7 linked regions of the Danio rerio genome follow. The protein of the gene in region 3 binds, or shares a complex with, the protein of the main gene of each other region. Links are inferred from orthologs where the notes say so. Each region holds a gene or a part of one and is shown on either strand. Other genes may lie near its edges.

Region 1 (3,500 bases), on a different chromosome or scaffold from region 3:
GTAAAACATTGTTCAAAGTCAAATAAATAGTGCTAATGTTGTTTTAAAGTCATACTTGCATGTGATTTCACACTGAGTATTTAAAATACCACGGTAAACAATACAGGGAGCATGTCACAAGTTGTCACCGAGGGTGAGTAAATTGTGAGTAAACTTTCATTTTTGGGTGAACTATCCTTTCAATTAATTTAATTGATTTTTTACATGTTTTTGTTTTTTGTTGTCGTCTTTTACTCAGACCAGTAAAAAGTCCTCTTAAAATTCAGAATGGCGTGCAGGAAAGTGATTCGCCAATAAAGAAGGTTCATAAACGCAGTCGAGCAATCCTAGACAGCGATGAAGAAGATGGAGATCAGCCAATGGTCAAGGAGCAGGAGCCAAAACAGAGTGAAGTTCAAACAGTAAAGAAAGAGAAGGTAAAATGTGAATAATCATGACCACTAAACATGAGAGCATGTCAGTATTGTTGTTAACTTTATTTCTGTCCCATGCTACCACAAATGCTCAGATTTCTGATGTTAAGACGGCTGAGGTAACAAAGGCTTCCTCTACTCCTGTATCTCCAAAATCCCCCAAAACCCCAACGACTCCGGTCACTTCGAGCACCTCTGTTTCTGTTGTAACTCCTGCGTCCTCTGGGACTCCTGGAACTCCAGCAACTCCAACATCAGTGTCACCGTCAGGCATTCCCAAACGCAAGACTGGTCTGTATTAGTCTGCTTTTCTCACTTTTTTGTGGTTGCGCTAATCATTTATTTGTATTTTTTCAATATTGCAAAATGCATTATGATTTAGGTATGGGCCAATGTAAAATTCTGATGGTATAATAATAATAATAATAATAAGTAATAATTATTAAATAATAATAATAAGTCAAGTCAGCTTTATTGTCAGTACACAATCAATCACATGTAAAGGACATACAGAGAATTGAAATTGCTTGACTCTCAGACCCCAGGTGCCTAACATGTAATATTAATACAAAAAGTAGAATAAAAAAAATATTACAATAAATACAGTTACACATATTATCTAAAAATATAAGTAAAAATTACAAATGTATGGTCCTTTTCTGTTGGAGATACTGTTGCCCTAAAAAAACTAAATAAAATAGTCATTAAAATTTTTTTATAAAAAGACACGTTCTGAGTTTGTTATATATTAACATTATATACACACTAACCGGCCACTTTATTAGGTACACCTTACTAGTACCGGGTTGGACCCCCTTTTGCCTTCAGAACTGCCTTAATCCTTCATGACATGGATTCAACAAGGTACTGGAAATATTCCTCAGATTTTGGTCCATATTGACATGATAGCCTCACACAGTTGCTGCAGATTTGTCGGCTGCAAATCCATGATACCAATCTCTCGTTCCACCTTAGCCTAAAGGTGCTTTGTTGGATTGAGATTGGATTATATGTTTATAACAAAGCAGCAAATCTGCATTTTAGGATGTGCATGTGTGTCAGTGTGTCTAGTTTTTGTGTAAAATGGTTTTCATTGCATCACAACATCATGTCAAAATTATCCCCTAAAATATATTGGGTTGTTGCACCCTATATGTGTACAGCCTTCATGAAAATAGAACATTGGTATATTTATTTCTAATGTTGGGGTAATTAAAAAAAAGGCTACAAACTTCAGAATAAATAGATAATTTAGGGCTGTTTTTCTGCTGTTGAAATAGTTACTGTTTATTTTGACAGAAGGGTTAAAAATCAGCTTATGAGTTTATTATATTTGATTAATTTGGCTTTTATTGGTCGTTCAGAGAAAAAAAACTTTCAATAATAAACTAAATCCATAAGGATCAGTCATGATGTAGTTGATTGTGTGCAGTAGGTTTTTCTTCAGTTCCTACCTGTTTAATATATTTGATGAAGCAGGCTTTCAACCTCTCTTTTTTTTAATAGCTCGTAAGCAGTTCCCTAAGAGGAAGCTGGAAAGCAGGAGTGATGGAGAAGAACTAAAAGAGGAAGAGAAGGAGGTCGATGGAGGACAGGAGAGTAAGAGAGCACGAGTCGACTCTTCACCAGAACAGACAGGTTAAATGAGTTGATATTTATTCACTGGTGTAGTTTCTCCTTGATCTCAGTTCATTTCTAATTCTTTTCTCTTTCTTTTTTTCAATTCAGAGAATGAGATGATGGAGGTGGACGAGACGAGTGCTGATGAAAAGACTGCAGTTGAGGAGAAAGAGGACAAGGCGAAAACTAGTGTAGTTGTGGACAGCGAGATGAAAGATGAAGATGACAAGAAGCAGAAGATAAATACAAACAACGAGGCAAAAGAGAAGGATAAAAATGAGAGTAAGCAAGAGGAGAAGATAGATACAGAAAAGGAGACGAAAGAAAAGGATAAAAAGATCAATAAGCAGCAGGAAAAGAAAGAAACAAAAAAGGAGACAAAAGAAAAGGATAAAAGTGACAAAAAGCAGGAGGAAAAAGATAAAAGTGACAAAAAGCAGGAGGAAAAGGATAAAACTGAGGAAAAAGTAAATGGTGAGAATGAAAAGGAGAAAATACCGGACAAGAAAGGAAAAGAAAGCAGCAGTCCTGAAAAAGTGGTGAAAAAAGAGAAGGACACAGACGGAGGATCTGCCAAAAAGAAACCCATCAGCAGCTTTTTTGGTGAGCCTTTTTATTGTTTTCTTCTTTTTTTTTGTTAACCACTCAAAATAAATGACTTATTTACCTTCACAACATCCCAAACCTGTATGATTTTTACAGCACAAGGGTGAGAAGCTATACAATTGAGTTTTCAGCTGAACCGTTATTTAGCTTTTAATCTTTTGTAGCACCCAGAAAGGCTGCAGTTAAACTGGAAAAAGAAGAGCGAAATGAAGGAGAGAAAAAGAAAGATGGAGAGACCTCTGATGTGGTGGAACAGAAAGAGAAGAAAAGGTTACAATTTAAAATGCCTTAATGACTTTAATAATATTTGGTAATTATTGTTCATTTTGGAAGTTTCTTTAGGTTTTTAAATATATATTTTTTCCAACAGTGAAAAGGGAGTGGATTCTGCAGTCCAGAGCCAATATGATCCTTCTAGAGCACATTATCATCCCATTGACCACGCCTGCTGGAAGAAGGGTCAAAAGTAAAGCATGCCTTTCGTTATTTATGAAACAGAGAGTCCTACGATTTCAGATTTTTCACAGAACTTCTTCAATCATCCCTATAGTCAGAGTTTGTTTTTGGTCTGTGCTTAACACAAGCTGAAGATATTTTCAGGTTTTGTTCTGTAACAGAATAATCTGTAATATCCACAAAGGTTTATACAGTCCTGGAAAACCTGGAAATGTCATGGAATTTTGACAATGCATTTTCCAGGCCTGAAGATGTTTTGGAAAAAATCAACCCAAAATATTTTTAAAAAGTCATGGAAATTAATTTGTTTAGCAAAAATCGATCTACTTGAATATGTTTGAGGTGATAATATTGGGTAAATTTTAAATACAATTGCGCAGTTAATTTTTTCATGTGACGTTCTCT
Region 2 (4,222 bases), on a different chromosome or scaffold from region 3:
AGCGACATTGTTTATTATTAGACTGCAAAAAATGTAACCCGATAGACTGCTCTCGGATTTAACACTTTATTTGTTTTATCAGATGGAGATTTTGTGCATTAAGTTTGAAGTGTGACCCGGTTGTAAAGCAGGTCACGTGACGCACAACGCCAGTTTCGTCGTCGGGTTTCCGTTGCGCTACAAGGAACGCTAGAAGCGAAAGCGACCCAAAGAGGTGACCAAAGAAGGCGGGGCTTATGAGTCGGCATTTACCCTGATTAGTCTAAACCTCTGCTCAGCTTTTAGGCTCTTCATGCTATCATAATTTTTATTTAATCATTTGCAAAATTATATATATATATATATATATATATATATATATATATATATATATATATATATATATATATATATATATATATATATATATATATATATATATATATATATATATATATATATATATATATATATATATATATATATATATATATATATATATATTATTGCTTGCTATCAGAACAAAATCCAAAGGATCCCAGAGATCACTTTAAAATGATCAATAGTATACACAGTCATAAAAATTATCACAAACACATACAAATAACATATCATTAGACTGAAAGGGAAAATATTAATAATTATAATATTAATAATAATAAAATTATGATAATAACAAAATTACTAAATTAAACAAACTAAATTAAACAAATGAATGAAATTACAATGACACTTAAACAAATAACCAAAAGGAAAGCAACTAAACTTAAGCATCTCCTACATCTGTATAATATTTCAGGAATTTTAGGGTTTTTTATTCTTAATAAGATTAAGTTTTTGTGTTTCTGTGGCGTTTACATGTTCTTCCAGTGTTTGCGTGGGTTAAAAAAATATATGCTGTAGGTGAACTGGGTAGGCTAAATTTTGTGTGTGTGTGTGTGTGTGTGTGTGTGTGTGTGTGTGTGTGTGTGTGTGTGTGTGTGTGTGTGTGTGTGTTTGTGTGTGTGTGTGAATGAGTGTGTATGGATGTTTACCACTTATGGGTTGCAGCTGGAAGGGCATCCGCTGCGTAAAACCATATTCCGCAGTGGCAACTCCAAAACAATAAAGGTACTAAGCCAAAAAGGAAATAAATGAAATAATGAATATATATATATATATATATATATATATATATATATATATATATATATATATATATATATATATATATATATATATATATATATATATATATATATATATATTGTTAATGTTAATGTTAACCCGGATTTTTTTGGGGCCACATGGCGCCTCTAGTGTTCGCAGCCATTCCACTCCGCTCGCAGTGGCTTAACACTTCCTGTTTCCTGACGTGTCGACCAATTAGAACACTGTTCGTCCATCTCGCGGGGAATTCGTCTTCAGCGCTTTTTCATTGTTCGCGGGAAACTTACCACTTCTGAACGCGACTTGCATCCTGCAGCGATGACTCTTTTTCACCATGTTGTTGATCGAGGGGCTAAAAAAAGAGGACGAAATGGTGAGTTTGCTGAATATACGTTAACCTAAACCAGCGTTATTACACTATTTACACTGAAATACTTTGTAATAATCAGGTGAGCAGCGGCTGTTTCCTCTGTCGTCTCTGCTGGACGGCTATGAATGCGCTCGGCGGGATGAACACATCTCTTATGGAGCCTCCGCTGCTGCCGTGCCGCCATTCGGATGCACATTTTCCTCCGGTAAACATTTATTTCTGCATTCACAATGAGTTCGAAGTCAGTAGTACAGAATTGTGCAAAGACATTATGTTTGTGCTGGTTTGTTTTCTATGTTTAGCTCATGGACAACAAAACTGTCTTGCTGTAGCCAACGAAGAAGGGTTTGTGACCATCTTCAACACTGGAGAAAAACAAAGCTCTGTTCTGAAAGGTTGGCTTCAAGTTTACCTGGAAATATTTTAAAGGTTTAAACTAGTTCGCTTTTGGAAAACCCTATTTCCTATTGGCGTCAAATATAAAATGGGTTGACCGAAATCTCAACAAAAAGTGCAATAAAGCTTTGTGTTTCCCCTGTTAGGAAAATAAAATAGAAAAACATTTTTTTTTGTCATACTGTCATAATTTTTTAAAATCTTGTTTCGGAAATGTCATTCATTGTAACCACACCAAAAAAGTTAATAACTATTTCTTAGCCACATATTTTAAACAATGTGTCAAAAATGGGAATAAATCTAGAATTTAAGTGTTTTACAAATGTTAATAAATATATAATATGCAAAAATCAAAGTGTTATGCAAACAAAAATGGCAGTATGGAAAATGTGCAGGTATTTTATTGCAAATCAAAATGTGGCTGACCTGCCAAACCGACAGCAAACTGGGCAACACATCACTTGTTTTTTTTGTACCCACATAAATGTAGGTTTCCAAGAGGTTAGAAACATGTTTTCGTTTAGCCTCATAATTTGATGTTGCTATCTTGTTACCAGGTTATGGAAAAAAAGTATGTGCTCAGAACGTCTAATCACTTAAAAGGAACATGTAACATGGTGTTTATGACATCACAGAAGAGGTAACATTAAAAGGCTTAAAAGCAGAAACTTGATTCTTAGGCTGCCTTTGCATGCAATTGACAAATGGTCTCAGCCAAATTAAACCTTAGTGACATGAAAGCCCGATCGGGCAAGTTATGATCCTGTCTACTGTTCTGAATGTCTCTTATACTGACCAGGGCCATCTGGCAGTCCTTATTGTTAAGCCCTGAAATATTTATTTTTGGTAAAGTTGATTTTTCTATTCAGAGTTTATCCTGCTTAACCTAAATTCAAAATAAAAATTATTTGCAATCAATTCTAAATAAGGAAATGATATTAGCAGCCAATGAGCCAATTTTGAGTTCTTAAGTCTGAATTGGGAGATATTGCCTCACAATATTCACAAATAAAGTTAGAATTCTGAGAAAATGTTGCAATTACCTTTTTTAAAAATATTTTTTTATCAGTAGCAGGAACATGCTTCCTCAGATTTCAGATGATCACTTTTTTTTTTAAATTAATGGTTGCATTTTAGCTGACTACAGTTGTACAGCACACATCACTTGCATCACATTATATATTCAAATGAATTTTTTTATTCAATCATATCTTTAAATATATGATTAACATTCTGATTGAAAGTGCTAATTTGTAGACAGTTCCTTACATAAATGATGACGTTACAACCTTCCATAGCTATTGACCTTATTCTAAAATGCGGAAGTGCGCCTGTTTTCACGATTGTCTTAGAACTTTCGATTCAGTCGCCTATGGGAGAAATGACTAGGAATAATAAACGGCAGAAAACGGTCAAACTACTTGCTCTAAAAACAAATGTTTGCATGACTATACAGACCAAGTAGAATAATATAATAAGAAAATATCAAATTGCAACATCAAGCAGCGTAATAAGCAGTTTTTAACGTCAAAAAATGAATGGAAGTGAATGAGACCAGAAGTTTCAAGCCAAAAATATTCAAATGGCAGCGCCCGCTCATCGACGGAGAATAAGTTGAATAAGCGTATTTAAGTTGTACAGTTACATACGTATAATGCATTGTTCATAATAGTACATCATGATAATCCATATTAGCCCTTTTAAATTCTGTCAGATTGTGTGAATATAAAAGAAAGGTTAAGTAGGATAACGTTTTCTATTCTCTGAATAGAATAAGAGCAGAATAAGTATGTTTAATTTTTACACTCACACATATCTATATCTGTTTATGCATGCTGAATGAAGACGGAACATTATTTCACCTATATTTGACAATAATAATAATAATAATAATACATTATATTGCGCTTTTTTCAGCCCCAAAGCGCTAACAGGCATACAAGGCAAACAAAGCAGAACAATAAAAACAGTCAAAAAATAAAATAAAAAGACTGCAATAAAATATGAATGGCTCACTACAATAGGATTATAAAATAACAAAAATAATCTAGGTTAAAAGCAACGGTAAAAAGGTGACTCTTAAGAAGTTTCTTAAAACAATCCAGTGAAACGGCAATATCACAAGGTTATTTTAAATATTATAGTAGAAACTTCTTTTTGCATTGACAGTGATTTATACATGCACAAAATCACTTTTGTTAATTAAATTTTGGTGTTTCATTGATGTAAAACGTGTGTTTTCCAGAATGGCAGGCACATGATAATGCAGTTTTTGATATTGCCTGGGTTCCTGGAACCAATTGCTTAGTAAGTGTTGAATGATTTTTT
Region 3 (4,161 bases):
TTGTGACAATATTTCGTATTTTACGTTACTGTGATGGGTCGATTTAGGATTTGGGTAAGGTAGACGTTATTAAAACGCATAATAATGGTTATTCATAAATATTATAAATAATTATCCTTAACTGAAGACCGCACCTGCAGTTACACCATAGATATATACATATATATATACATACACACACACACACACACACACATACATACATATATATATATATATATATATATATATATATATATATATATATATATATATATATATATGCTCAAGTATCCCCAACTGTATCCCTTCTTTTGTTTGTGTAACACATATATGTATGTATGTATGTATGTATATATATATATATATATATATATATATATATATATATATATATACATACATAAATGTGTTACACAAACAAAAGAAGGGATACAGTTGTGGGATACTTGATCATGCGCACATCAACATAGCATGATTTTTGTGACACAACAGTATTTTACGTTACTGTGATGGGTCGATTTAGGATTTGGGTAAGGTAGACGTTATTAAAAAGCATTATAATGGGTATTCATAAATATTATAAGTAGTTATTGTTAACTGAAGACCGCAGCTATATCCTTTAGCAACAAAACATGTGTTACACAAAAAGTTGCGGATACTTGGGCATGCGCACATCAACATCAATCGTTGGTACACTGCACAACAATAATTAATATTTTACGTTACTGTGACTTGTCGATTTAGGGTTTGGTTAGGGGTATACGTTATTAAAACGCACTGTAATGGGTATTTATAATTTTTATAAATAATTCTCGTTAACTGCTGACCGTAGCTGTATCCCTTCTAGCAACAGCACAGTAATTTGTCACAGAAACAAAAAAGGGATACAGGTGCGTATACTTGGGCATGCGCACATCAACATAGTCTGATCTTTGGTAAACTGCACAACAATAATTAATAATTTACGTTACTGTGACTGGTCAATTTAGGGTTTGGTTAGGGGGTATACGTTATTAAAACGCACTGTAATGGGTATTTATAAATTTTATAAATAATTCTCGTTAACTGCCGACCGTAGCTGTATCCCTTCTAGCAACAGCACAGTAATTTGTCAAAGAAACAAAAAAAGGGATACAGTTGTGGATACTTGGGCATGCGCACGTTGACATAGCATCATTTTTCACACTGTACGACAATATATAATATTTTACACCACAGTGACGGGTCAGTTTAGGGTTTGGGTGGGGGTAAAGGTTATTAAAACGCACTGTAATGGGTATTCATAAATGTTGTGAATAACTCATACCTTCTGACCAAATTGCGCCCTCTTTTGGTCAGTGTCCGCAGTTCTGTCTGCGTTCCAGGAGGAGTCAAACGTCAGCGGAAATGACGAAGGCAACAGTGGGTCAGTTTAACAAAATCCCGGCGAAAGCGCGCGCAGTTACATTCAGAGCCTCGCCAGAACAGTGGACAGCACATCTGCACCGTGCCTCCTCTGCATTAGTACCTGCTAAACTCTAGGATAGTTTAGGATTCTGCTTTCCTGTGCTGGAAAACAAGCAGTTAACCAGGCCGCAGCTTGTGTCGTAACAGGATTAGATAACTTTAGTTCCTCCTACTCTAAACTAAGAAAGCAGCACAATGTTTGAGGCACGTCTGGTTCAGGGATCTATCCTTAAGAAGGTCCTGGAGGCTCTGAAAGACCTGATCACCGAGGCTTGCTGGGATGTGAGCTCGTCGGGCATTTCTCTGCAGAGTATGGACTCCTCTCATGTGTCTCTGGTGCAGCTGACGCTCCGGAGTGACGGGTTCGACTCCTACCGCTGCGACAGAAACCTAGCCATGGGGGTCAATCTGAGCAGGTAAAATCACTGACTAAATCAAGCGCCTTTTGTGTTATTTGACTCGTATTTACTTGGTGAGTGAAGTTTGAACATGTCTGCGCATGCCCGGGGCTGCGCCTCTACACAGCAGCGCGCCATTTTTAGACTATAAAGTGACAAAAGTATTTTATTTACAGTAGTTGTTATTAAAGTATGCCGTTTTACGGTTGTGTTTTAAATAGGCTATCAGTTTAATTTGGCGCGCAGTTTCCTGCATTCGTCCCACGCTCTACTGATCGTGACGTCACTTGCGCGCGCTTAAGCTTGTTGGCGGGAAAGAAAATGCCGGGTTGCTGAATGACAACATGGCTCTGGTGTTAGACAAAGAAAACCTGCTTAGACACTTTTTGTGTATGCCATGACTGTTTCGAATGTAAATGGTAAACCATTTTACGATCAATATGGTGTTTTTCTACCTGAAGTGAACGTGTTTTGATTATTATTCATCTGTTTCCTAGCATGTCGAAGATTCTGAAGTGTGCTGGAAATGAAGACATCATCACACTCAGAGCTGAAGACAATGCTGACGCCTTGGCACTGGTCTTTGAAACGCTCAGTAAGTTAACTTCTTTTTAAACTAGGAATAGCAATACTTTTGATAGTGTACAATTAAAAAAAACTTTTTTTTATTATGAATTTATTTTATGTTGCTAAATTTATATTTGCAGTATTTTAATATCGATTTATCAGCAATACCTGTTAAAAACATGGGCTTTGGTTTAAAATGAATCATTAAAGTTAAGCTAAATAATTAATACTTAATATTTAAAAATAATTTTCTAATAATAATTTTCTCCAAAAATGTAAGAATGAAATTCGCATAGATACTGGAGCCATTTTGTGGTTAATAACATCACATAAAAAAAATGCTTCTAGTATGGATTTTCTTCACCATGTTATCAACTATTACTATGAAACCAAAAGTTAAGTTTTGCTGGAGAGCTAATAATCCATACTAATATTTACATCTCATTTCAGATCAAGAGAAAGTGTCCGACTATGAGATGAAACTGATGGATCTGGATGTGGAGCAGCTTGGCATTCCAGTAAGACTTTATTATAACAGGGTGTCTGCAGGGTCATTAAAAGTTGATAAATCAATTTGGTATTAAACAGCCTTAACTGTTGTTTTACAAGATATAATTGTTTTGGTCATTTTATGATTATATAATGTGTAGTTGTGTGCTAAAGTTTGCCTAAATTTAATCTGTGTGGTTTATGAAATTGATAAAATCCTGCTAGATTTGGCATCACACTGCTTTGTCTACTGCAGTAATAAAGGCAAGCCTATGTTTCCTGCTGTTCTATAGGTGCCATCTGTTGGGATTAGCATTTTTATTCAGTACATGACCGATTTAGTTTAGGATTCGTTTCTTACAATCAGTATTTAGTAAATATACTACAAGTTGAATTGTCACCAATGTTAAGTTAAAACCTAAAATGGCGATGAGGTCTTAAAGTTTATTGAGTTTCCCTCTCTTGATTCCTGTTTATTTCTGATATGATCGTGGATGTTTGTCTGCAATGATCATGCTTTATTCTCTTCCCCTCAGGAGCAGGAATACAGTTGTGTGGTGAAGATGCCGTCGGGTGAGTTTGCCCGCATCTGCAGGGATCTGTCACAGATTGGTGATGCTGTCATGATCTCGTGTGCCAAGGATGGCGTGAAGTTCTCTGCCAGCGGAGAGCTGGGCACAGGCAACATCAAGCTCTCACAGACCAGCAACGTCGACAAGGAGGATGAAGCGGTAACATACTATTCATTTAAGGCTGCACGATACTGGGAAAAATATGCAATATATATTCTATAATCAAACATTTCTCTGAAAAAGTCAATTTAATTAGCTGTTTTAAAAAAATTATTTCATGATTTTGCAATAAACAAGTAAAATATATTTTCCAGATCTAATTCAGACTTAAAACTGTCAAGATGCAAACCTTTAGTCTTTAAAGCACTATTAGTGAGAATCATTTTTTAGCTCTGATTTCACCTTTAAGCCAATCCAGCCAATAGCAGAACAGCAACTACTTAGGAGGCGGGGCTAAAGGTAGTAAAGGCCCCATCTGATTGATCAGATTTATATAATAAGCAGCTTTATTTTCATTTAGCACCTTTAAAAGTAGCATCTCGGGGCACTTTACAGACATAATGTGCAGCTGTTAAAGATGCATACAGGATGAATGCAAAAAAAATGCAATGAATATAATCAAACGCTTACAATAATAATAAATCTAAAAAGCTACCCTAAAAGAGTAGGTTATAAGTGATTTAATAATTATCTGGGATTTTATCAGA
Region 4 (4,177 bases), on a different chromosome or scaffold from region 3:
ACCATCACTATACAATAACTTGCCTAATTACCCTAACCTGCCTAGTTAACCTAATTGACCTAGTTAAGCCTTTAAATGTCACTTTAAGCTGTATAGAAGTGTCTTACAAATATCTAGTTAAATATTATTTACTGGCATCATGGTAAAGATAAAATAAATCAGTTATTAGAAATGAGTTATTAAAACTATTATGTTTAGAAATGTGTTGAGAAAATCTCTCTGTTAAACAGAAATTGGGGGAAAAAATAAACAGGGGGGCTAATAATTCAGAATGGCTAATAATTCTGACTTTAACTGAATATCTCAGACAAAAAGCGTTGCAACAGGAATGCACTGACCATTAAATTTAGCAGTGCCCCAATTCCAGCCCTTAACACACATGTCTTTCTCTGTTAGCTCCACTTTGTAGTTGTCTTTGAAGTATTCTGAGATCTTCTCAAGGTCCTGCGCAAAAAGAAACGGATGAAAATTTAAGACCTGGAATGAAACAGCGGATCAAACTGAGTGATCAATTGATCTGTAATTTGCATCTCAGACTCACTGCGTCTTTAAAGCCATCATATTTGTAGATGTGGCCAGTGCTGGTCCATAGTTTGATGCCGTGACCCAGACAGACTCTCCTCCACTGGGCCTGAGTGAGTTCAGGGACCGGAATAGTGTCCACCTTCCCGGTCTTACTGTTTTTATACACCACTGTCTGCTTACTGAAGCGCAGGCGGCCGTCATTCTACAAGAAAAGACAGTCGGTCAACTTTATTGAGAGTTTGATAGAAAAACACCTCAAGTTAGAGAACAAAACCTTTTTTAACTCACCCATGAGCCCTTGACCTCCTGATAAATTTCATTGAACTCCAAAGTGTCACTCATGTCAGAGTAGACAGAATGGACCTGTGACGTTTAAAAGCTGCGACAGTTATTAATATACATTATACATTATACAATTTCCACTGCAAATGGCAATATGAATGTGTTATGAATGATAGAAAACTCCCAGTTTACTCTGGTGTCAACAGTAGACTTTTATTATAGGTTGTTTTGGATGTAAAAATCTAGCTTTGTGCTTTAAGAAAAGCTTTTGCGAGTGTTATTATTTTGTGGCTGCACAGCGAGATGATGTCTAATAATAAACAAATAAAGCTAGCAAAGCTGGCGTTCAGGCATCAAACAGCGGCTTTTGTGACGAACGACACGTTTGCAAATTTACAGCAAATTTACAGCAGGCTTAGTACATTTCGAACGCTTTTGTTGCATATGTTATGAAATATGCGAGAAATTTGAATGAGTATTACTGTTATTCGGCGAGAGGATCAAGGCCGAGTCCCGTGAGCGTAGATGTGCGGCGCGCAGGAACGCCTTCGTCATGACGCAATCGCGCAGTGTGCGTGGCTCAGCCCTGCCTATCGAACGTCAGTCTGTTTTGTAAACGATCGAAACACAAAGGGAAAGTTAAAAGGCTTTATTGATGAAGACTGCTGCTGTCAACATTTACAAATAATTTATCATATGACGATATCCTATCAGCGTCCAGGTATGCAATATATTTCAGATATACTTTTTTGACAGTAGTGTTTCAAGCACTGTTGTTCGATGGATCAATAAATAAAGATCGCCTTTACTGGTGATTTTAATGCAATTTATTTAGAAATTAAAATGAAATGCTACACAGAATGCATTGCTTATTTTATGTTTTAGACCGAAAGCATCTAGTAAGATAGTATTTGCATGTCCTGCTCTTTGTGCTCTCACAGCCAGAGTATTTACAACATTATTGACGTTACAACATTATGTATTTACCTCGATTTAACTTGTTGATATATCTTATTATGCTACATCACGTTTAAACTAGGAAGCTAACACGTTAGTTAACATGTACTAACAATGAAAATACTGAAACTGTTGTTTACATGTGCCTTGTACTTACTAAAGTAATAACAGTGAATTATTTATAATTACGCATGATAAACTGATACCAACCCCTTTTCTTAAACATATACTATTATAATAAGTTAAATATAGTTTTTTTTTTGTGTGTGTGTGTGTGTGTGTGTGTAAAAACACTGGAACAAAGACTCTTAAAGGGGATAGTTCACCCCAAAAAAAGAAAATTCTGTCATCATTTACTCATCCTTCACTTGTTCCAAACTTGTTTGAGATTCGTTCTTCTGTTAAACAAAAACAAGATAATCTGAAGAATGTTGAAATAAAAAACAGCCTATGACTTGTTTTTGATAATTTTTCCAACATTCTTCAGAATATCTTCTTTTGTGTGCAACAGAACAAAAGTTTAGGAATTTTCATTCTGTGTGAACTATCTCTTTAATTATTGTATAACTGAAAACACTTTCAAAGTATATATTCATTTTAATGCATTACCATTTATCGATAGTTCATTGATTGAAGTTACATACATACTGTAGCATATGTATTGCTCATTGTTTGCTTTATTTCAGATATGACACCAAAGCGTGGCCTCATCACCGACACCTTTAAGGTTGTGAAGAAGGCAAGGAGAGGAGGCAAGAGAAGCAAGTCTCCTTCACCACCGAAAGCAGGTCAGATAGTATTTTGTTCTGTGTGTTAACATGCATCTTTAAGCAGAAATCATTCCATATCACTATGGTCCTAAAGTGTGCAAATGCTTTAGAGGCACATGCAACCATGTAATGCATTTATAACCTGTTATTACTGCTCAGAGCCTGAACCCCCACAACTGAGTGAAAGAGAAAAAGATATACAGGAGCTGAAGAACTTTGATCTGGATTGGAAGTTTGGACCATGCACAGGTAAACGTCTGTTTTTGATTTTACATTGATTATAATAACGGCAGCATGGTTGCGCAGTGGGTAGCGCTGTCGCTTCACAGCAAGAAGGTCACTGATTCGAGCCTTGGCTTGGCCTGTTGTCATTTCTGTGTGGAATTTGCATGTTTTTTTTTTATTACAAGATTTTAAGCTTTAAATATATATATATATATATATATATATATATATATATATATATATATATATATATATACATTATAAGAGCAAACATTGGCTCATACTTTAGAAATACAAAAGACAGTATAAAATAAAACTAAAAAGAAAGGAGACAAAAAACACACACACAACATCACAAAACATACATCAAAACAAGAGGGGTTATATAACTTAAACCTCAGAGTGGTCAGTAGATTGCTTTTTAGATATTGATTTGTCAAATAAATCAAGAAATTGACTCCAAGTAGCCAAATATTTTCTGATGAAGCTAGTCCTTAAAAATCTGAGTCTCTCCATCTGAATAACAGACATGATATCAGAAATCCAGTTCTGCAATGAGAGGCGTAAAGGTGATTTCAAATTTATTACACTATATTTGTTTAGCCACCATCATGCCTTGCATTAAAGACTTTTGCATTGTTTGAGAGAGAGAAGATGTGATTTGTGAGAAGTCAAAGATGGCAAGTTCGATATCTGGCAGAAAAGGCCTGCTCTAAGCTCAGCCTTCCAGTTCTGTTTGTCCAGAATCTGTTCAGTAAGGGAAAAATTGGCATGTTCTCCCCGTGTTGCCATGGGTTTCCTCCAGGCTCTCTAGTTTCCCTTACAAGCCCAAAGACATGCGCTATAGGTGAATTGGGTAAGTTAAATTGTCCGTAGTGAATTGGAGTGTATGGGTGCTTCCCAGTGATTGGTTGCTGCTGGAAGGGTATCCACTGTATAAAACATATGCTGGATAAGTTGGCGATCCATTCTGATGTGGTGACCCCAGATTAATAAAGGGACTAAGCTGAAAAGAAAATGAATGAATGAATGAATGAATAAATGATAATAACTATTGATTAACCCTTAAAGGGATATTTCATCCAGTAATGACAATTCTTTAATGTTTTACTCATACTTCTCTTGTTCAAAACCTGATTCAGTTTCAGTCTGCTGTTAAACATAAAAGAAGATTTTTTGAAGAATGTTGAAAACAGGTAACCATTGACTTCCATTGTATTTTTCCCCATACTATGGGAGCCAGTGGTTACCAGGTTTCAACATTGTTGGACAAAATAACTACTTTTGTGTCCAACAGAAAAAAAGGTATGAAGGTTTAAAACTACATAAAGGTGAGCAAACGATTACAGAATTTTTTTGAGAGGTGAACTATCCCTTTAAGGACAGACCTGTTGTGTTCTCTGATGTTTCTTTTGGTT
Region 5 (3,500 bases), on a different chromosome or scaffold from region 3:
CGCTTGTGGATGTTGAAGAAAGTCAAAATCAGAAAACTATAAAGAGGCATGCAATTACATGCAAAACAAAGCAACGCTAGCAAAATAGTGATAACATTTTAACAGATAAATACTTAAACAGTTAGCAAACAAAATGAAAATACATAGAAAATCATAGAGGAACAAAAACAAGGGAGAGCTTAAATAACTAAATAGGTTTAATTGTGTTATATGCCTTTTCAGTGTGATTTGTGTGATGATGTTTAATGCATTTATGTTATTATTAATATTATTTTGTTTATGTGACGTGATTGTGTTGAATGTAATTATGTTAAATTTTTAATGTAATGATGTTATGGAAGCCAAAAGTTCCACTTGTGGATATTAAAGAAAGTCAAAATCAGAAAAGTATAATGAGAATGCGATGATGTGAATTGTTGCCATTTAATTTCCCAGGTATATGTCAGGGTTCAAACACAGCAAACGGGTGAATGTGGAGGATGTGTTGACATGTATTAAAAGACACCGGCTGTACACTCACGCTGAAGCTTGTATGAAAGATAGACTCCCAGACATGGTGGATGAAGAGGTACAGTAATGTGTACTCAGTGAACAGTATTTGAAACTACGTGAGCCTTTATGTTGCTTTCTATTGTGCAGTTTTGATGTTTGACTTGTATTGCAGGGTCCAAACCCTTGGTCTGCCATGGCACTGTTGTTGATTTTAGCTGACGGAGTGAAAGATATCCTGGACCTGGTAGCTCTTCTGCGGAGATCTGGCTGTCTGCTGACCACAGGGGGGATTTCTGAATACCTGTGGGCAGTGGCGACTTTACTTCTGGCCATGAGAGAGCGGAATATTAACATAAGCAACAGGTAAGAGACCAAGTTTGAAGAGCTTCCTGCAAATGACCCTAACCTCTGCACAGCGTTCCAGAATTTACATTCGACTGCTGAGGAAGTAAACAGTGGTTACTAGGTGATTTTTAACTGAATGCAAGAAAGACAAAAACTTGCTATCAAACGTTTGCATCTAGATATAAATAGCTCTTTACTTTTTGATCTTCTATTTTTAGGTGGCACTACAACATCTTTTATGTCTTGCACTTGATGGAAAATGCATCTCCAACAAGCCTGAAAGACAACAGGTGGGCAGCCATTTCAATATGGTGTTAGTTTTAATTTCAGAATGTTTGGGGGTAGATTTTATAAATGCCTTATTATCTTACATTATTTTGCATCAAATTGAATGATGAAGGCGTTTGTAATGTTACAAAATATTTTTGTTTCAAGAAGATTCTATTGTTTGAACTTCTGTTTATTAAAGTATGCTGGGAAATAATCGTTATGTTTCTAAATGATCACAGGGTGTCCACTGGGACTTAAAAAGCCCTAATGTCTTATTTTAAAACAAAATTTTAGGCCTTAAAAAGTCTTAAATTCACTAAAATATTGTGTTGTTGGTCTTAAATCATTTCAAACTGGTCTTAATTTTGCTATATCCAAGTAAATCTACTCGATCGGACTGACATCCATCCAATGACTAACAAAACTTCTCAAACCCTTTTTTAAATATATATTTTTACAAAGTTATACTATTGACAACAGCTGTTAGACATTTTCACTAAAAATCGCCAAATTAAATTCCCTAATCAGGGAAAGAAAACAAGTATTCCTCATGATAATAACAGGCCATTAGAAAAGTCCTTAATCTCGTATAAGTCTAAAATTTCATTCTTAATGGTCTTAATAGAGTCCTAAAAAGTTCTGCAGAAACCCTGGAACAATAATGTTTGTTTAACACAAATCAACATTTTAGAATGATTTCTAAAGGATCATGTGACTCTGAAGACTGAAATAATGTTGCTGAAAATGTCGTTTCAGTATCAAACAAATAAATAAAATCTTTAAATTATATTCAGTTTAAAAATATATATTTATTTCAAATTGAAATAATGTCACAATATTACTGTTCTATTTTTGGTCAAATGATTAATGATAATATGCATTTATTATTAAAAAATAGTTGTTATTAACCCGACCAATTTAAACCCTTAGCTACTATCCAAATTCTTAGTTAAATAAAAAATGTAAATGTTATATTATTATATTGTATATTTTTGATCAAATAAATAATTATAATATATTATTTTTATAATAAATACAGTTTTAAACCTTAAACTTTTTGACCCCTTAGCTGCCGTCTTAATTTTTGGATAAAAAATGTAAATGTTATATCATTATACTGTATTACAACTGTTATATTTTTGGTCAAATTAATAATGATCTTATGTATTATTTTATTATTATAAAATTAATTGTTACCAATCCCAAACTTTTTAACCCCTTTGTTATGATCCTAATTTTCAACAAGCAATTTTAATAAACAATTAAAAATGTTATATTGTTTTATTGTTGTAGTACTGTTATATTTTTGGTCCAATAAATAATGATAATATATATTTATTATTATTATGAAAAAAAAAGATCAACCCCTACTAATTTAAACCCTAAGCTTATATCCAAATTTTTAGTTAAATAAAAAAATGTAAATGTTATATTTTTATATTGTCATATTACTGTTATATCGTTGGTCAAACAAATAATGATTTGTTAATTATTAAATTTGTTACATTTTTGCTAATTTTTAATTAAACAAACAATTAAAAATGTTATATTACTGTTATATGTTTGGTCCAATAAATAATGATAATGTGTATTTATTATAAACAAATTAAATAGTTATCAACCCCAAATGTTTTTGTAATGCAACTTTATAATTAATTGATATCTTAATTCATCACATGCACATATAATACATCCATATAATTACCTCAGTCATAGTCATCAAACCTAATTATCTTCATTTTTAGGCAGCTTATCACTCACGAACAGCAGCAGATTCTCAACCACGACATCCAGCATCATCACGTTGTCAAAATAATGGCTTTTGCAGGTAAGGAACAATAACTGAAATGATTTTGCCACTAAAAGTAATCCTGTAGTATAGCACCAAATAGTATCCTGGTCTTACAATCCCTTTTTCTGTTGTCGCAGGCACTGGAAAGACAACCACGCTAGTGAAATATGCTCAGCAGAGGCCAGACCTGCGCTTCCTCTATCTGGCCTTTAACAAATCTGTAGCGGTGCAAGCCAATCGGTTATTTCCACACAACGTCGAATGCAGCACCGTCCATTCAATGGCCTACAGATCTGTGGGAGTGAGGTCTGTTTATTGGAGAAACATTTAGCAAACGAGAAACTATTATAAGTAGGGCTGCACAATATATCGTTTCAGCATCCATATCGCAATGTGATCATTTTTATTTTATTCAAATCATTTATTTAACAGGGACAGTACCCTTGACATTATTATACAAAGACAACCAATGCCGCGTACATAGCATAAAACTATTTTGCAGACCTTGTCCCTGGTTAGGCTTTAGGACATAATAAAAATAAATAAAAACCTGCAAATAATAAACATGGTAAACCAACAGTAGTCACAACAGTCATATCGC
Region 6 (2,933 bases), on a different chromosome or scaffold from region 3:
TTGTTTCTTCGAATTCCAATTTTTTTCGTTTGCATCTTGGAATTCATACTTTTTTCTTGGAATGCTTAGTTTACATGTTGAAATACGGTTTTATTTTTTTGCTTGGAATTCAAAGTTTGCATCTTGTAATACTGCTTTTTTTTTAGTTCTGATGTTATGTTTAAAATTTACAATTCTGGCATCTTTGCTTGGAATTCCCAGTTTGCATCTTGAAATACTGACTTTTTTCTTGGTATTATCAATTCACTCTTCAAAATTCCAACTTTTTATTCCTTTGAATTCTGAGTTGGAATACTGACTTTTTTTTCTTGGATTTGTAAATCCACACCTGATAATTCTGACAAAATCTGGGTTTTCATCTCACAATATATATTTTTTTGTTTGTAATTTTTACTTCTCCTAATTCTAACTTTCATTCTTCAAAATCTAAATTTACATCTCACAATTCTGAACTGTTTCCTAAAGGAATTCTGACAATTAAAAAAGTAACAAGAAACCAATTTTATATCATAAACAGCTTTATTACAAGAACAATTACATGTAAATCTACAATACAATATTAATCTGTAAAATAAATACAGCATATATTTTGAGCTCTTTAACAATAACAGACCTGTGCAAGCTACACTACTCCAAAAAATAAAAACAAAACAAAAGAAACCCCAAGTGCAATTCTCAATCGACGGCGAATTATCCAATAAACAGGATATTTACAGACGGGTCGCAGAAAACAAGCAGAGTTCTAGAGCTGGTAAAGAGCTGAATGCTAAACTTCAGAAAGCCGACAGAGCTGAGATCTTGATTAGGAAACACATGAAAGCTGGTGTTCGTACTTCTTATGAAGTTTATTTTAATGTATTTGTAGAGCGTTTGTAAATATGATGTAGTGTCAGCGTTCATGGAGCAAGAGCAGAACACACTTCTGCGCAAATTCGTTACGAAAAATGCTGTGTTTTAACAGTCTTTTGTGGTCTAATCTGATCTATGTTGTATTAAAATTGAAATGCGTAAAATTGCGTCAATTCTAATTCTCGAATTGACGTTTCACGCAATTAGATTTTCACGCTAAACCTAATGCAACAAAATAATTTCACGAATAAATTGCGCAAATAATTATTTAATTCTTTGTAAAAAAAATGTGCATGTTAATTTTCAGTTTTTTTTATTTCTTATTTTTTAACTTTTTTTATTGTCATTGCAATATTTCTTATATATTTGGTAGAATAAGTTTGTTGCTATAATTATTCTTAAAGCATTTCTATACTAATTCTGTACAAATTTAACAAAAAAAAATGTTTTCCAAAAGATTTGCATAATTCTTACAACATTTTGTGCACGTAAACTTTAAGCCTACATTTATTTCAACACAAAAACTGCATAAAAAAAATTGTGCAAAAATGTTTTCGTTAAAATAAACGCAAGAATGAATTTGTTCTCTCAGTTCTATCTGCTCGTGTTTCATGAACGTCGCCAAGTGTTTTTTTTTTAAACAAAGTTTAATGTAGTAGAAAAACGTAATTGCAGCTCAATTACGATAAAGATGTGAGAACTTACTGGCAGCTTCATGAAGGTTTATGTGTAAAATAACATAAAGGGTTAGAATTATAAATAGAAGAAGAGGAAAAAACAACATTTGGCACCAAATGTTTAGAGTTTTAAAACATTAGCTACGTTTTGTGCAATAAGGCAATGTGAATATGTGCACGCTGAAATAAAAATCAGCGCTTTATATTGTTCGTAATGAAACAGTTGTCATGATTCTGTGGTCCCGTCGAGAGACAATCTCTGGAAGACTGAGGAATGGATCTTTCCAGAACATTTCCACTTGTAAATGTTAACCGTTGACATAAAACGGTTGAAATAAAAACGGAATAAACGGTGTCGTCTCTGGTTCCTGAAGGTCGTTTTCTGTCAATAACGCTGCTACGAGACGAATGCAGCTCCAGACAGATGAAGGTAGATGCAGGTCAAGAGTTTATCTGTGTGTGTGTGTGTCTCCTTCAGCTACTGGCCGGATTTGCGCGGCGTGGCCACTAGACGCTTCTTGGCTTGGTAGAAATCTGAGAACAGAGAGACGATATTATTTGTTTATTATTAGTCGAACTCACGCTTTAAATTTACATCAGAATACAAGCAGTTTAATATTACTACAATAATACTACACTCAGTGGTTCATTATTATAACAAAAAAATTAATTCTAAATTTGTATTAATGTAAAAATATCTATCAATATGCGATTATGTATATAATTCAAATATGCGATAATGTAAATCAATCTGTGTCGTGTTTGTTAGCTGAAGTTTTTGGTTGATTAAAGTACAATATAAAATAAATACGCAATTTAAAAAATGCATTAAAATATAAATATTAGATGAAAAATTTAAAAACAGAAACTTAAAACTTTACATCTAAAAATTCAACACTTTTAATAGGGTATTATAGAAAAATGCATAAAAGCAGATCATCAGAGAGTTGCATTATAGAAACACTACGACATTTATTTATTTATCTTTCTTTAATTTTTGTTATTTAAAAAAATAATCAACAAACAAACATAGCTATATACATAAATAATAACAATACTAAATAATAATAATAAAGAGGTCTGACCTGTGATGTTGGTCTGTTTGCGCTTCAGCTCGCTGCTCTTCTCTGGGGTTTTCTCCACTTCATGCGGGAGTGCAGCACATCGTTCTGGTGTTTTCGGGATGTTTTCCTTTCCAGCGGCGGACTGTCCGGGCTGATGAGCCTCACAGGGCCGTTTCTGCTGCTTTTCCTGACACGCGCGGTACAGTAGTGGCACGCGCACGCCGGACACGCCCTCCCAGTGGAAGTCTCCGCCCTCTAGTGGTTTCTCAGACGCAAAGTCGAAGCTCCAGCGTCGCGATGCGTCCTCCAGATCGCGCCGTAGCGCCGCCCGGTACTCACGCTG
Region 7 (3,174 bases), on a different chromosome or scaffold from region 3:
AAAAGCACGCACATCTCTCTTAATTGGGTGCTCAGCCAAAACCGCAAAAAGTGCAAATTAAATGTAAATCAAAGGCGGCAACACCAAGGCTCCAAAAATACAAGTTTATTCAATTAAAAAGGCTGACACAGAGCGTGTAACGTTTCGAGCCGCCGGCTCTTCATCAGACAATGTTTATCACAATCAGGTGCTTCTTTTATACACTTCCGGATCACATGATCTCCTCTCACATATTTGTCAACATATACATACATGCATATGTATACATACACAGTCGTTCATATATACATATACATACACATGAATACGTATACACATTTACATATAGTCTATAGCTTTGATATTATAAATCAAATTACAAAAAAAAAAAATATATATATATATATATATAAATACATAAATAAACTATAATATTGCATCACAAATTATAATACAGAAAAATAAATAAATAAGGGAAAAAAATAAATAAATAAAATATATAATAATAATAATATATATATGATACACCAGACTATACAACAAAATATAGCCAAAAAACCTTTAAACCAAACCCCTATTAAACCTTCATTCATTCATTCATCATTCATTCATTGTCTTTTCGGCTTAATCTCTTTATTAGTCGGGGCTACCACAGCGGAATAAACCGCCAACTCGTCCCACACACTTCCCCGCAGCGGGCGCCCCTCCAGCCGCAACTCATCTCTGGGACACTATTACATAATAAAGACTTATTAAAAAATTATTACAGAAAAGGACGAATGTCAAACTCCTCATTTAAACCTTTTGGAGACAATGCGTCTAAAGTGAAAATCCAGAAAGCTTCGCGTTGCAACAGCAATTTATTAAGATCACCGCCCCGACGTGGACACTTCACAACTTCAATCCCTATATATTGTAGAGTAGAGACGGAATGTCTCATAACTGAAAAATGTTGCGCAACCGGACTTCTGGGATCCTGTTGTCAAATAGCGCATCGATGTTCAGAAATACGAATTTTTAAAGGTCTACTCGTCTTACCTACATAACATAAACCACACGGGCACCGCAGCATATAGATAACGTTCGCTGTTTTACACGAAATAGTGCCTCGAATATTACATTTTTCCGCTGTATGCGGATGTGTGAAAGTAGATGTTTTATATGTAAAATTACACTGTAAACAATTGTCACATTTAAAATTACCCTGTAGTATGGTGTTTTAAAAATGTGGAGTGGGTTTTAGATCAGCTCTTACTAGCATATTTCGGATATTAGATGTTTTTTTGTGTACCAAACGGGGTGACTTATCAAAACACTCTTTGAGGGTGGGATCACTTGAAATATTATGCCAGTGTTTTAACAGCACTTTATTGATGTCTTTAGTCACTTGTGAATATTTCATATAACAAGTAATGCGACGATCATGCTTTTTTGTTACTTTTTTAACTGAGCTTTCTTCTTGTGACATATCTTTGAAGCGATCATGTGAAGACTGTATCCACTCCTTATAAGATCGTTCTCTAAATCGTTCTCTAATATCAAAGCTATAGACTATATGTGAATGTGTATAAGTATTCATGTGTATGTATATGTATATATGAACGACTGTGTATGTATACATATGCATGTATGTATATGTTGACATATATGTGAGAGGAGATCATGTGATCCGGAGTGTATAAAAAGAAGCATCTGATTGTGATAAACATTGTCTGATGAAGAGCCGGCGGCTCGAAACCTTACACGCTCTGTGTCAGCCTTTTTAATTTAATAAATTTGTATTTTTGGAGCCTTGGTGTTGCCGCCTTTGATTTACATTTGTTTTTTTTATACACCAATAATAAACAGCTTCTTTGACTATCATTATATACAGACGCACCCTATCCCTTTAAACTGGCAGTATAAAGATGCCCGCAAGCTGTTTTTCGAAACTCCAAAAATCGACGACCCAGTCCTGGCCTGGAGTGAGCCTGATGAAGAAGGTCTGGTGCAGTTCCTGTGCAAGGAGAAACCTTTAAAGTATGCCTACATATTCTAGTATTATAGAGTGTTTGCCATTAATTGATGTTTTTAGATGTATCTTTCTTTTGGTATGTGAACATATTTACTGTTTTTCAGGGAAGAAAGGGTGCGGGGACGCATGAAGAAGTTTCGCGAGATGCTCCTAAAGAGAAGGAAGCAGAGGGAGGTGAATATGCAAATGGGCCAAACTAGACAATCACGCCTTGAAGATTTTTTCCCTGCCACGAGGAAGAGAAGGGTAAGATTTAACATTAAAGAAGTATTATGAATTTATCCCTTTCTTGAATATTGTATCCAACAATCTTGATCTCCCCCTCTAGGCTGAATCTGCTGCTGTAAAAGAATCAAGTGGGAGAAAACAATTCAAAATTAAATAAGACGGACCTTTTAGATCTTGGATCTTGGATCTCAAAGCATTGATCAAACCATCATGTGGACAGAAGAGTCAAATGTGTGATGACTTGAAGAAGTTTGGACTGCCTTTTTACTGAGTATTTTATTTTGTTCAAATGGCAATGGTAAACCATTGCCAAGAAAACCTATTTTTAATTAATGTTTGTATCATGTACAACAAAGGTGCTAATATTTGAGAGCCTGTAAAATCAATGCTTTAGAAAACATCTTAAATAATGTTTGTAACGACAAAAAAAGTAAACCTCTGTTTATTTCCAAAGATATTCCCTGCCTCATCATTTGCTAATACATTATTATAGTAGCAAACAATATTACTGTGGCTTTTGTTTAAGGAAGCTCCATACATTATTGGCTGTGAACATTGTAAGGCTTGAAGCTTACTACTTGCTATTCTGAACCAATAATCGGAAACAGAAAGCAGTTGAAAGATGGTGTGTTTAAATCCATTATTTATCTGACTCCATTGTAATTAATCTGACTCCATTAAAGATGTTATCATCGTTGATAAAGAGAAAGAATCTCTACGCCTTAAAGCAGGCAAAGTTGTTTATTAAGTTACATGTTTAAATATACACACAGTAGAATGAAACAAACTAGCATACTGTATAAAGAAATTAGCTGTAATATATGCACTGCTGAGCAACAAAGACAGTGAAACTGCCTTTGTTAGCATATGAGGCTACGCACTGGTGTGCGGGAGATGCAGAGTAAAAGCCATTCTCCAAGATCAACAGTTACCTTTCCCTATTATACCCTGAG

Evidence for each region.
Region 1: the proteins of pcna (region 3) and lig1 are in contact, whole or in part, in a cryo-EM structure (PDB 8B8T), measured with the Homo sapiens proteins. The link is inferred for Danio rerio from reciprocal best matches to the Homo sapiens genes PCNA and LIG1. Residues at the interface, in NP_002583.1 of Homo sapiens: Met40, Ser43, His44, Val45, Leu47, Leu126, Gly155, Arg210, Ala252, Pro253, Lys254, Ile255; in NP_000225.1 of Homo sapiens: Ala361, Gly363, Arg364, Ser368, Ser388, Thr389, Gln390, Arg391, Leu392, Met393, Leu394, Val432.
Region 2: the proteins of pcna (region 3) and dtl are in contact, whole or in part, in a crystal structure (PDB 6QC0), measured with the Homo sapiens proteins. The link is inferred for Danio rerio from reciprocal best matches to the Homo sapiens genes PCNA and DTL. Residues at the interface, in NP_002583.1 of Homo sapiens: Met40, Ser43, His44, Val45, Ser46, Leu47, Glu124, Gln125, Leu126, Gly127, Ile128, Pro129, Ala208, Tyr211, Asp232, Val233, Pro234, Tyr250, Leu251, Ala252, Pro253, Lys254, Ile255, Glu256; in NP_057532.4 of Homo sapiens: Ser705, Met706, Arg707, Lys708, Ile709, Cys710, Tyr712, Phe713, His714, Arg715.
Region 4: the proteins of pcna (region 3) and pold4 are in contact, whole or in part, in a crystal structure (PDB 6HVO), measured with the Homo sapiens proteins. The link is inferred for Danio rerio from reciprocal best matches to the Homo sapiens genes PCNA and POLD4. Residues at the interface, in NP_002583.1 of Homo sapiens: Met40, Ser43, His44, Val45, Ser46, Leu47, Val123, Glu124, Gln125, Leu126, Gly127, Ile128, Pro129, Gln131, Tyr133, Asp232, Val233, Pro234, Tyr250, Leu251, Ala252, Pro253, Lys254, Ile255; in NP_066996.3 of Homo sapiens: Lys4, Arg5, Leu6, Ile7, Thr8, Ser10, Tyr11, Pro12, Val13, Val14, Lys15.
Region 5: the proteins of pcna (region 3) and fbxo18 are in contact, whole or in part, in a crystal structure (PDB 8F5Q), measured with the Homo sapiens proteins. The link is inferred for Danio rerio from reciprocal best matches to the Homo sapiens genes PCNA and FBH1. Residues at the interface, in NP_002583.1 of Homo sapiens: Met40, Ser43, His44, Val45, Ser46, Leu47, Leu126, Gly127, Ile128, Pro129, Ala208, Asp232, Val233, Pro234, Tyr250, Leu251, Ala252, Pro253, Lys254, Ile255; in NP_835363.1 of Homo sapiens: Ser56, Gln57, Arg58, Cys59, Ile60, Pro61, Phe63, Phe64.
Region 6: the proteins of pcna (region 3) and cdkn1a are in contact, whole or in part, in a crystal structure (PDB 1AXC), measured with the Homo sapiens proteins. The link is inferred for Danio rerio from reciprocal best matches to the Homo sapiens genes PCNA and CDKN1A. Residues at the interface, in NP_002583.1 of Homo sapiens: Cys27, Asp29, Met40, Ser43, His44, Val45, Ser46, Leu47, Ala67, Met68, Gly69, Ala96, Asp97, Leu118, Met119, Asp120, Leu121, Asp122, Val123, Glu124, Gln125, Leu126, Gly127, Ile128, Pro129, Gln131, Tyr133, Ala208, Asp232, Val233; in NP_000380.1 of Homo sapiens: Arg143, Gln144, Thr145, Ser146, Met147, Thr148, Phe150, Tyr151, His152, Ser153, Lys154, Arg155, Arg156, Leu157, Ile158, Phe159, Ser160.
Region 7: the proteins of pcna (region 3) and zgc:110269 are in contact, whole or in part, in a crystal structure (PDB 1UL1), measured with the Homo sapiens proteins. The link is inferred for Danio rerio from reciprocal best matches to the Homo sapiens genes PCNA and FEN1. Residues at the interface, in NP_002583.1 of Homo sapiens: Cys27, Asp29, Met40, His44, Val45, Ser46, Leu47, Ala67, Met68, Gly69, Asn95, Ala96, Asp97, Leu118, Met119, Asp120, Leu121, Asp122, Val123, Glu124, Gln125, Leu126, Gly127, Ile128, Pro129, Glu130, Gln131, Glu132, Glu201, Pro202; in NP_004102.1 of Homo sapiens: Arg19, Phe27, Gly28, Arg29, Lys30, Lys80, Val167, Lys168, Ala169, Gly170, Pro188, His208, Ser210, Arg211, Leu296, Lys297, Trp298, Ser299, Glu300, Arg332, Ser335, Thr336, Gln337, Gly338, Arg339, Leu340, Asp341, Phe343, Phe344, Lys345.

The regions. Positions count from the first base shown.
Region 1 is NC_133177.1:47,496,315-47,499,814, reverse strand, and holds part of lig1 (DNA ligase 1), read left to right. Parts: intron 1-238; coding exon 239-416; intron 417-508; coding exon 509-704; intron 705-1,919; coding exon 1,920-2,051; intron 2,052-2,141; coding exon 2,142-2,636; intron 2,637-2,803; coding exon 2,804-2,909; intron 2,910-3,009; coding exon 3,010-3,105; intron 3,106-3,500.
Region 2 is NC_133195.1:14,376,522-14,380,743, forward strand, and holds the start of dtl (denticleless protein homolog), read left to right. Parts: upstream 1-1,422; 5' UTR 1,423-1,446; coding exon 1,447-1,501; intron 1,502-1,577; coding exon 1,578-1,703; intron 1,704-1,800; coding exon 1,801-1,893; intron 1,894-4,139; coding exon 4,140-4,201; intron 4,202-4,222. Other genes in the region: ints7 (integrator complex subunit 7), read right to left, coding at 1-8. UniProt on the Homo sapiens protein: Substrate-specific adapter of a DCX (DDB1-CUL4-X-box) E3 ubiquitin-protein ligase complex required for cell cycle control, DNA damage response and translesion DNA synthesis.
Region 3 is NC_133185.1:46,058,752-46,062,912, reverse strand, and holds the start of pcna (proliferating cell nuclear antigen), read left to right. Parts: upstream 1-1,361; 5' UTR 1,362-1,623; coding exon 1,624-1,844; exon of another isoform or gene 1,845-1,897; coding exon of another isoform or gene 1,898-1,929; exon of another isoform or gene 1,930-2,119; intron 2,120-2,323; coding exon 2,324-2,421; intron 2,422-2,843; coding exon 2,844-2,911; intron 2,912-3,418; coding exon 3,419-3,613; intron 3,614-4,161. Other genes in the region: E3 ubiquitin-protein ligase TRIM69, read right to left, coding at 1,898-1,929. UniProt on the Homo sapiens protein: Auxiliary protein of DNA polymerase delta and epsilon, is involved in the control of eukaryotic DNA replication by increasing the polymerase's processibility during elongation of the leading strand.
Region 4 is NC_133176.1:47,967,895-47,972,071, reverse strand, and holds the start of pold4 (DNA polymerase delta subunit 4), read left to right. Parts: upstream 1-1,377; 5' UTR 1,378-1,503; coding exon 1,504-1,528; intron 1,529-2,450; coding exon 2,451-2,552; intron 2,553-2,693; coding exon 2,694-2,783; intron 2,784-4,177. Other genes in the region: ssrp1b (FACT complex subunit SSRP1), read right to left, coding at 339-444, 542-727, 814-867. UniProt on the Homo sapiens protein: As a component of the tetrameric DNA polymerase delta complex (Pol-delta4), plays a role in high fidelity genome replication and repair.
Region 5 is NC_133179.1:10,423,508-10,427,007, reverse strand, and holds part of fbxo18 (F-box DNA helicase 1), read left to right. Parts: intron 1-435; coding exon 436-568; intron 569-664; coding exon 665-855; intron 856-1,055; coding exon 1,056-1,127; intron 1,128-2,852; coding exon 2,853-2,935; intron 2,936-3,036; coding exon 3,037-3,205; intron 3,206-3,500. UniProt on the Homo sapiens protein: 3'-5' DNA helicase and substrate-recognition component of the SCF(FBH1) E3 ubiquitin ligase complex that plays a key role in response to stalled/damaged replication forks.
Region 6 is NC_133197.1:620,015-622,947, forward strand, and holds the end of cdkn1a (cyclin-dependent kinase inhibitor 1), read right to left. Parts: coding exon 2,612-2,933; intron 2,061-2,611; coding exon 2,005-2,060; 3' UTR 501-2,004; downstream 1-500. UniProt on the Homo sapiens protein: Plays an important role in controlling cell cycle progression and DNA damage-induced G2 arrest. Involved in p53/TP53 mediated inhibition of cellular proliferation in response to DNA damage.
Region 7 is NC_133177.1:18,824,143-18,827,316, forward strand, and holds the end of zgc:110269 (probable flap endonuclease 1 homolog), read left to right. Parts: exon of another isoform or gene 1-359; intron 360-1,852; coding exon 1,853-1,998; intron 1,999-2,097; coding exon 2,098-2,239; intron 2,240-2,321; coding exon 2,322-2,378; 3' UTR 2,379-2,674; downstream 2,675-3,174. UniProt on the Homo sapiens protein: Structure-specific nuclease with 5'-flap endonuclease and 5'-3' exonuclease activities involved in DNA replication and repair.